Linked DNA regions of Drosophila melanogaster. The protein of the gene in region 2 interacts with the protein of the main gene of each other region in a pairwise test. Each region holds a gene or a part of one and is shown on either strand. Other genes may lie near its edges.

Region 1 (2,782 bases), on a different chromosome or scaffold from region 2:
CCAATTATGTATGTCCAATTTATATTCGCTACGCAAAAGATATGAAAGATTTTGTTACGTAATTGCTTAACTGTGGTAATTAGTATAAAAGACCACGGCCTCTGGCTGCAGACATCAGTTGTCCAGCCACTGGCCATCCAACATGCGCTACTCCTGTGTTCTTTTACTTCTGGCCACCGTTGCCTGTCTGCTAATCCCACAGACAGGTGGCTCCACGGCCACCACAACCTCAACTTCTGCTTCGGCTACCACCACCACTTCCGCCTCGGCCACGACAACCACTGCGTCGGATACAACTACTACCACAGCGGCTACCACAACCACTTCGTCCTCCTCCTCAAAGAGTAAAAAGAAGAAGAGGACGTATCACTATACACGTCATGTTTATAGGCCAAAGCGGATACGACATATCTATAGGCACAAGGCCGACGACGACGAAAGCTCTACCGATCGCACCAGCACACGCAGCCGTCGTCGTCGCCGCAGCAGTAGCAGCAGTAGCAGCAGTGGCAGCACCAGTAGCCGCAGTGGTAACAGTCGCATCCGCCGCAGGAGAGCCCGAAGTGCCCGACGCCTGTCTTAGTGACCACATCTTGTACAACAAACCAACTGATCTGATCGTGACGCCTTTGAAAATGTAGTTTTTCTTTTTGGTTTTCTTTTTTCCGTTCAAAACACTTAAGGCAAATAAAATGAATATTTCGATATTAGTTCATTCTGCTTATCAATGCCGCTTAAAGCATTTACTTATGCTTTTACTTATGCATTTACTTTACAAAACAGATCGAGATAAGAAGCATCACTTGTTGTTTAAAGTGTATGTCAAGTTCGTTACAACGTATAATTAACCATTGAAATTTTGATCAAATAGTTACTTTCAGAAAAAATATAAAGGGCATACTCCTACAATAAATGCTATATATTATAATCTTAAGTATTATTATCTACCCCAGACGTTATTTAATATAGTTAATAATAGCGCTTTCCTAAGCTACGTACACAATGTGTTTGTTTGTCTATAATTCAGACAAGCTACAAATGAAAGTAAACAATTTATGGCAAAATCATTTTAATTGGTTAATATTTTTCCATTATTTGCTTAAGAGAATAAGTTTAAAGCTGATGTGTTCCGTGTTTTAAAAGCCGTAGTATACTTTTTAGGGGAAATTATTTAAGTGGCAGAATATATAGTTGAATATAGTATAGTATATAGTATATATATAGTAAAGAATCTATATATATAGTATAGTATATAAAGTTGAATTTTTCTGCAGTTTTTACAATGCGTTTATCGTATATAGATTTAACCTAAGTCATTTGCATTTATTTAAAAACCAAGTAACGGTTGACAAAACTAGACTTCCGTTGGCATTAGTGGCTTAAGTGATTTTTATAATAACAGTTAATAAATTTTCGCAAAATGACAAGCTCCATACAAAAATAGATTATCATGCCTCTTGTACATGTGCAAATTTTATCTGTTTAAACAATTGTGCCAATACGAAAAATAGCGAATTTTTGTTTGGCCAAAAATAACATCTTTTCTTTGGCTGACACAGTTTGGCCGAAGAGGATAAACCCAGTAGAGAAGACTACTATAAAAGCTGGCTTTCGTTCTTCAAGACAGCATCAGTAGCAAGGCATCTATTGTAGCATTTGCTCACCATGAAGATCACCGTGGTACTCGTACTTCTCGCCACCTTCCTCGGCTGTGTGATGATCCACGAGTCGGAGGCGTCCACAACCACCACGTCCACCTCCGCCTCGGCCACTACCACTACTTCCGCTTCGGCGACCACCACTACTTCCGCTTCGGCCACCACCACCACTTCCGCTTCGGCCACCACAACAACAGCCTCACCTTCCTCGAGCTCAAAAAAGAAGACTGTCACTCACTATAAGCGAAAGGTCAAGAGGCCAAAGAAGGTCAGGAAAATCACAAGGAGAAGGGGTCTCAGGAGCCGCAATGGTCGCAGCAGTAGAAACCGCAGATCGGAAGAATAAGAGATCCAGGACCAATAGAAAATCCACGCCACTCTCAATGCTGAACCCCAGGAACCAATTGTTTTCTTTTTTTTTTATTTCTTAGTCCATAAGCTTAACTAACACTACAATAATTCTTTTACAAGTCAATTAAGAAATCATAAAAAAATATACATATTTTGTGACATGTCAGTCAAATGTTATTTATTCAGTTATTGGCCAAACAAAATTTAGCAACTAGTTGTTTTGCACAATTGTTTAAACATTTGAAATGCCTTTACTTTATAAATAAATATATGATGCGCATAAATGTGTAAGTTCTTGTATATTTTTTTTAACATCTATAGTGATTTAGCTAATCATTTTATATTAATTTTCAGAACAAATATTTTATTCATGATCATCTGAATGTGAATGCGAAATCTGAAATCCTTTTTAATAAGTTGATTAAAATGCAGACGAGCATTAAACATTTATTCGTCAAGGCTTTTCTGGGCCTCAAAAGTTGCGTTTCCATTGAAATCCATTAGCACAAAACCGAACTCGAGGAAACCCGCAAAAGCCCCAAAAGGAAAATTTGTGCAAGCGGCAAAATACTCGTAAGCAAAAACTTTTCAGCCCAAAAAAGCGAATGGGGAAATTCGAAAAGCTGTTGCCATAGATACCGCACACTCACACACATATATATATATATAGGTACATATATGTATGTATGTATGTATGTGAGAGGAAAAACATTAAGAGAAAAAAACGGAAAACAACAGCCACGAATTCCATAACAAAAGAGGCGAGTCAGGTG
Region 2 (4,376 bases):
TCCGCGAAAAAAACGAGAAGAGACGAAATCAGTCCCACAGTTCACAAAACAAATGCGAAAAAGTAGTAGTCCAGGTCGAATGCCTTAGCCGGCGGCTCATCATCGCGCATCAAGGTATAGATTCCCTGATGGATGAGCTCCCGGAAAGTGTCCGCCTTCATTTTGATGCTGATCCCGTGCTCCTGCAGGCGCCTCATGAACTCACTGGTCATCGCCAAGTACGGCAGACTGTTGGACACGCAGTAGGATTCGAGGGTAAAACCCACGGCCTGGCGAATCATGTTGAAGCGCGGCGTCTTCAGCAGGTACTGCTGCATCAGGATCAGCTCCAGGCGGTCCTCGTACAATATGTATATGTAGCTCTGATTGAGCCCATCCCGGTACGCCTTTAGCAGGGTGGCGTTCAAGCTCAAGCTGTTCCTGCGGAGCCGTTCGGGCAGGAAGGTTTTCGCCTTCATCTGACTTCTGTAGTACTCGTCGTGCAGACTGGGGTAGGGAGCCCTGGCCAGATCCTCCAGAGTGTTGTACTCCTCGTCGTACAGCCCGGATGTGAGGATGCTGGAGAGCGTGGCCAAGTAGACGTTGGTCAGTATAAAGCCTCCGATCGTTAGAATGCCATGGATGGCCACGTCCCTCCAGCCAGCAACTCTGATTTTCTGGTGGCAGTTGTATAGGATGTGGCTGAGGCTGTACAGCAAGCACTTTCCAATCTCGACTCGTGCTCCTCGCGCAGCCAGATGCAGCATTACGGTTCCGTACAAGACAGTCGAAATCACGACCGCCCAAAGGGTCCAGCCGAAGGGCTTGGAGTAGTACAGATAACTGGAAATCGGACGGGCGTGGGGAGCCATGAAGTACTCGCGGATAATCGAAAGTGGTGCTGTGTAGGCCACTTCCAAGCTGAAATCTTTGAAGTAGCAAACAATGTCGATCTTTTTTGTATGTAGCATTTCAGCAACGGCCAAGTATACATCATATTCCGGCAGATCGGGTATGGGTACACTCTCGATGGTGGCGTTATAGCGATAAGTCAGCTCCTTGACCGCTGTGAACAAATATCCTGCTCGCACCAAGCCACCCTGTTCGTTGGAGTACTCAAAGTCCCGAGGAGCTAATGTGCTTCGAAGTATGCGGACAGGAAAGCCTTGAAAGTTTCGAATTATCCTTGCGCGATCGAAATACTCGGACACATTTGATAGGCTGATCGGTTGAATGCTAGGATACGGTAGGTAGCTGTAGAGGCCCTTTCCGCTCATCAGAATTACATTTACGAATCCCTCCTTGAAGCAGTAGGTGTAGAGGTCCTGTTTCGGAAATCCTGGTTCCTCATTGCTCAGGAACACTATGTGCAGCTCATGGAGCTCGTCCAACAAGCGTGGCAGAAGACTGGCAACCAGTGGATTCAGATCTGAATCCATTACACTTACTATGATAAGGGTACTCTCTGTGAAGTTTCCCCGAATTCTAAGATCTCTAGCTTCCCTCGAGTTGGAGGAGAGTAAAATTCTCGGCGAGTCCAATTTGTGGAGTATCTCTGAGGTGGCGCAGCACTCAAAATCGATGAACACATTGAGCTCCGTTTGGAGAGCCAAATTGAGATCCTGGAGTACTTGGACTTGCATGGATTCCGAGTCAGAAGCCCCGACCAAGCACAGAAGAACTGACACCAGCAGAAAAGAAATCATTTTAATTACCATAAGGCAGCGGGAAAATGCTTTTATAGGCTGCGTAGAATGCCCACATGACAAGGCAAAAATATTTTCAGGTTGCATTTAAAAGGATAATGGATTAATTGCCATCCACCCCATCAAACCAAAGCTCAAGAAGACAAATGTCATATTACTCTTCCATTAACCTAGTGTATATTAGCAAATAACTCAAGTCATTTTAGCTGTTTGAGTTGCAGGATGAAGTAGATTCCAAATCAAACAGTTTTGAATTTCCCGCCCACTGAATGGAAACTTTCAAGCACTGGCAGCTCCACCGATATATGCCTCCAGTTCTGGTCGCTGTCCAGCACTACCATATGTGCACTTTTTATTCCCATTCCAATTCCAGTTGGTAAGAAAAGTGTAATTGTTACGTTGTGGCAGTGAAATTGTATCATAATTCTTTTACCATTCCAAATCGGAGCATATTAGAGTGTTAAGACCCGCAAGGTAACGACACTTAATTGCCAAACGCCCGCAGATGAGTTTGTTTACGCCCCCTTTGTGGCAACAAAAACAAAAGGGGAAAGTTGTGTTTACGTTTTCTAAAGCCAGATACCGTTTTCGGGGTGGTTTTGGTTCAATCGGGGAGTTTCCAACGGAAAGGCCTTGTAATTAAGTGTGATAAGGGCCCTCGCTCTCGCTGGCAATTAAAACTAGACGTCTTGTTTCTTCTGATAATCGTGTTTTTGAGTCAAATACCTACACACCAAGCAATCGGGTTTACGTGTGTGTATACACTAAGTGGGGCGGCATTGGGGTGGACCCTTTGCACAGTTGAATCCCTCTGCTCAACTGGCGTTAGCTGTCAAGTGTGTAAGTTATTTGCTCCCAGCTGCCCCAAAATTGAAGCTGTGCTCTGTGGGACCCAAGTGGCAGAACAACATAGTCCAGACATATAGGTACCAGTACATACGACCGACTCGCTCCGCACTCGCGATTTGAAAGCCCCTTTATCGGAACCATATGAGTATGCATGTATAAAACTCGATTGCGGCCGCAAATAAATTAGTCTCAGTTCGGTTCGTTTTGTTTGGAAACAGTTCTCTCGATCTCCGAACAGACACGTCAGTGTCAGTGGCAGCAGGCAAAATGTAGTATTTGCAATTCCACACTCAGTTTTCCCTATAGTATAACCTACTCCGATCTCCGCAGCGCAACTCAGACTAAGGCTAATCCGAAACCATGTCCGACGACTTCGATGGCTGCGAGTGCGTCTGGTCGCAGGAGTATGCGATGCAACGCCTCATCAACTTCGTAAGTTTCTGTGCGCGCAGCTCCCAGCTCATTTGATCAAGTGTACTTCCTTATAGATACGACAAAACCAGAATGCCTGCGGGGACAACGAGTGTTACGATGGTCAGTATCAATGTCTCACGTCTTTTTTTAAGTATGAAAACATTTAGATTTATAATACATTTTGCACAGCATGAAATCAGTAACAGTCTTTTACTCAAGTGAAGATTGTAACATTCATTTTTCGCATTTGCATTTTTAAAACAATTCAGTATAGACTAGGGTCATACGCGCTTAGTGATAAGTTGCCAAAAAGTATGCAGTGCTTCTACTTGCGGACTATAGTATAAACCATAACTAATCCATCCGTCCTCAGTCACCGGACGCACTCCGCACCAGGCGCAGATCGCCGGACGCGGCGATGACAGCGGCTTCTCCGTCGCCATGATCTTCCTGATCGTGGCCATGTTCATGTACATAGTGAACCCGAGTACCTGGGGCAACTTCACCAGCAACAAGCGAGCTGGCGGCCGACGCGACAATAACCAGGACGGCTCTCCGCCGCAGCCTCCTCCGCCGGCCATCAACTAGGCGACTCCGAGGACCCCTGCTTCTACGAAACCTGAGCATCCACAACACAATTTTCAGACCGCAATTCCTTGTTTTGTTAATTCTCCCACTATTGGGACAGAAACCACGGATAGAACCAAATCAATCGACTTGGTGGCATCCATTCGCACGTTTACACAGAACACAGATTAGGCAAATTATACACCTCTTACATTGTACAAAACACAAAACCGCGCACTCTGAAACACACCGGCTTATCAACTAACATATTTGGACACTTTTTAAAAGACTTTGGAAAACTAACCGCTTTCCTTGTGTATTTCCTTTGTACAAGAGGCTTTAAAATCTTTAAAATGTACATATGGTGGGCGGGAATTGATGTGGTTTGTATTGCCGTCTCCCTGGTCTCGTCAGTTCTCGTTCTGCAGTTTCACCATCTTTTCGCGTACGTTCTTTAGCAGATCCTTCATTTGTTCGTACTTTCCCGTGGAGTCGGGCAGGTTTTCAAAGTTGATCACATCGCTGACGCCCACCTTAAAGTTGCTGCCCACAGGCAGTCTGTCGTAAACGGAGAATTTCAGCAAAGGCGTGCCCTCATAAGACGCCTTAAAGGGAGTCGAGGGTGCTGATCGGGACTGCTCATTATTTCCGGACTCGGCAGCAGATGGACCAACCTCCGTCTCAGACGTGTCATCCAGGTCGGTTGGTGATTTCGATTCATTCGCTGTCGTGTTATGCGACGCATTAACATCCAGCTCTTGGAGGAGCTCCTCCTGCTGGGCCTTCAAATCTTCCAGGCTTGGAGATGGCGAGCGCGCTGTCAGTTCGCCATCTTCGCACTCTTCGGGCGGAGGTGGTTGC
Region 3 (3,155 bases), on a different chromosome or scaffold from region 2:
GTTTGGCCATCTCCACTAAAATATCCCCCTAATATTTGCCCAGACGATATAAGCTCAGTTTCTGGGCCCCAACAACATGTGTTCAAGCATACATATATCATTCGCAATGCTCTAACGCCCACCCCAAAAAAAAGCTGATCCAAGCCTCATCGTCACCCGAGATTTTTAGCAATTGTCAGCAATTTTCTCAATGTACAGGACAGCCCAGAAACTATCTCACAAAACCACTAAGCAAATGTCCCTCGTCCAGGACGATGTGTGCTGTGTATTTTTCTGATTATCCTGGACGGTCAGTTCGGCCAAAGTCGCACACAGTGGGCGTGTACATAGCTGAGGCATTAACATAATTTATGTGGTTCCGCCGGATTTGGCATTGTCGTAAAAAAGGACACTCCATTGTCCGTTTCGAGCTTCGATAACAAAGGCAAAGCCCGGCCGAGGATTGTGGTTTTTATTGTTTTGATGGCAACAAAGTTTGTGGAAAGTTTAGTTAGTTTTTCTGTTGACTTTGCGTATTTTTTTAATTAAATGAATTTCGTGTTGGAGAAATCAAATAGTTGCCAGCTAATCTATGCAGCCATAACTCATATTTTGAAAGAATATCTGGTCGGGGTGTATGAAGTTCATGGTCCGTAAAAACGTGCGAAATTTTCACGGGCGCGTGAATTTTCACAGCCCTTGGTGGTTCTTGTTTTTGTTTTTCCAGACACGGACGTGCGCCACCTCCTTTTTTACCTCGTACTGATTGTTGTCACCTGTTTTTTGCACACTTTATTCGCAGGCCTCCCGCTAAAAGTTGGGTATGCGGGCATGGCTCAGAAGTTGGTGTTTTTCCTGATTCAATGAGTATAGAGTTCTTGAGCAGCACAGCCTTACAGGGTGTTTAGGCGTCGCATTATCTTCAACTGCTTAAAATGTTAGTACACCTGGCACGCAGAACTCATAACTCAAAACGGTTTTTGTTGCCCTCACAAAAGTATGTAATGCGGCAAAATAAAATCAAGCAGCAAAAGTCAAAAACTTCGAGTTTTTCTGTACATTTAATAATGAAAGATTGCTCGTACGTGCGGCTCGCGAGTATTTACGTGGGAAAGGAGAACATTTTTAGGGATGCATACTTGGGAAATCACTGCAACTTTTTTTTATACCTATTTTTAAATTTTTTTAAACCAATATGTAAATTCCGGAAATATAAAATAAAAATAAACCTTCTGGAGATGCGGGGCATCGATCCCCGTACCTCTCACATGCTAAGCGAGCGCTCTACCATCTGAGCTACATCCCCGATGTGAGCGCCGCTAACTATTTTGGACTGTATGTATAAAGAAATAGTGGTTTAGCGTTTTAATTAGATAAATTTGGCAATCTTTGCTTTAGTTTTAATTTAATTTTGGGTTTTCATATAAATGAAATGAAAATAAATAAAATGAATGCCTAAAAAAGGAAATCGTTTTATATAATTTTTATTCAAATACTTAACTTAACTTAAGATATACATTTTCGGATATGCATTTTAATACTTGTACAGATTTCGGTCGGTAACTGGGGCAGCCTTGAATGTTTTTGTATTAATAAAATTTCACGCTTTGTTTGCTTTGCCAAAGTTACAGCACTTGAATGTTCATTACAAGGCCCATTAGGCAGCCTGTCTTCGTGGGACTCACTGAGTTGGAGTTGAGATCGGACGCAAAGTAGTCCGCCTACAGATTTCAGCAGATGCAGTTGGGAAAATGGCAGTGCTCCAGATTTTATTTTTGCTGATCCTGGTCAACAGCAATGGATCTCAGAAAACCGACTTGGATGTGGATGAGGAACCAGATCATACAGGACCAGAACCAATCGATGGACGATCGTTTTTCTTTCTGGGTACTTTGTTTCGTCGTTGGCGTAACCGCTGGATGGCCTCTCACAATCCGGATCCCATATTCGCCGGCCCCGCCTATCCCATATCTGGTTATTACAATTGTCCTGTATATGGCTGCAGCCTGGCGGCTATTGGTCCTCAACCAGGTTACTACGCTACACCTGCAGGATTTTACACCATGCCTCTGAATCAGCAGCAGGCTCAGGGGAACAGCAATGTGTATATCTATCAAAGTGATCAAAATTCCGCGACGTCTGGAAGTCCCATGGGCTATGGGTATCTGAGCGGAGCTTCGCCGATACGACCAGCTCCGCCTTTCCCTCCACCACCACCTGGTATGCCACCGCCCACATCCGTTGGAACGGTACAGGCCAGCGCAGGTGGGTATTCTGGACCAGGAGCAGGACCTGGACAACGGCCAGGACCGTTTCCAATACCCTTCCAATACCCTGGGATGAATGGGAAAACAAGTAGCCGGAGGAAGCGCTCGCCCAAGTAAACAGAGCAGAGCAAAGTAAAAGAAAACAATACAATTTTAATTGAAATGTGTGCGTCAAAAAAAGTTAAGTGAAAAGAGATAAAATTAAGTTTTCGAAACCGGAAAATGTTTTGCACACTAAAAACCGCAATCTATTGCTTAAACTAAGACAAGAAAACTCCAATATCCTACAAAATTATTGGATTATTATTTTAGTGCTGACCAATGTTTTTAAGCTATTAAAAAAGTGTACTTAAATAATTTCGCAATTTAATAAAGACCGTAAAATTAAGTGTTTCCATTGCTTGGTATCAATAAATTTAAATGAAAACCGTTCATCTGTGCAATTAAAATCATTTTGTTTACATTACCAACTAGATTTCGAAAGTGGCGCAGCTCCCCGGAAAAATCCTCAAAAAGGGTTACCCACGCACACACTCACACGTCCATTTATCCATTAACGCCAAAGGAAAAACTCCACAAGCAATCTGCATAAACAAACTCATCATCATCATCCTCACCAGCTGAAGGATGAGCTCGAGGTTCCGGACGAGCAAAGCCGAGCTATCGTAGCTCCGGCATTTGTTTTGATTCCATCATAAACCATAAGATAGCTGCAAACGAGGATGGCTGATGAAGTGGTTGCAAGCTGCCCAAGGAGCTGGGGAGAGATTCAATTGTTTGGCAAATAAATGCCCGGCAGCATAATGGATGGCCATCCATTGGCCTGGTCAGCTCCGTGTCCGCTCCTGTTATTATTTTTATATAACTTGCGAAAATAATAATAGAGCTTGCCCATGCCCAAGGGCGTGG

Evidence for each region.
Region 1: the proteins of CG13585 (region 2) and ng2 interact in a two-hybrid assay, tested with the Drosophila melanogaster proteins (one large-scale study listed by BioGRID).
Region 3: the proteins of CG13585 (region 2) and CG14323 interact in a two-hybrid assay, tested with the Drosophila melanogaster proteins (one large-scale study listed by BioGRID).

The regions. Positions count from the first base shown.
Region 1 is NC_004354.4:3,239,418-3,242,199, reverse strand, and holds ng2 (new glue 2), read left to right. Parts: upstream 1-1,628; 5' UTR 1,629-1,665; coding exon 1,666-2,004; 3' UTR 2,005-2,174; downstream 2,175-2,782. Other genes in the region: ng3 (new glue 3), read left to right, coding at 143-583.
Region 2 is NT_033778.4:24,529,576-24,533,951, forward strand, and holds CG13585 (uncharacterized protein), read left to right. Parts: upstream 1-2,018; 5' UTR 2,019-2,061; intron 2,062-2,069; exon of another isoform or gene 2,070-2,159; intron 2,160-2,536; exon of another isoform or gene 2,537-2,803; intron 2,804-2,864; 5' UTR 2,865-2,894; coding exon 2,895-2,966; intron 2,967-3,022; coding exon 3,023-3,068; intron 3,069-3,321; coding exon 3,322-3,536; 3' UTR 3,537-3,816; downstream 3,817-4,376. Other genes in the region: CG4622 (uncharacterized protein), read right to left, coding at 3,926-4,376.
Region 3 is NT_033777.3:17,620,676-17,623,830, reverse strand, and holds CG14323 (uncharacterized protein), read left to right. Parts: upstream 1-1,718; 5' UTR 1,719-1,730; coding exon 1,731-2,363; 3' UTR 2,364-2,632; downstream 2,633-3,155.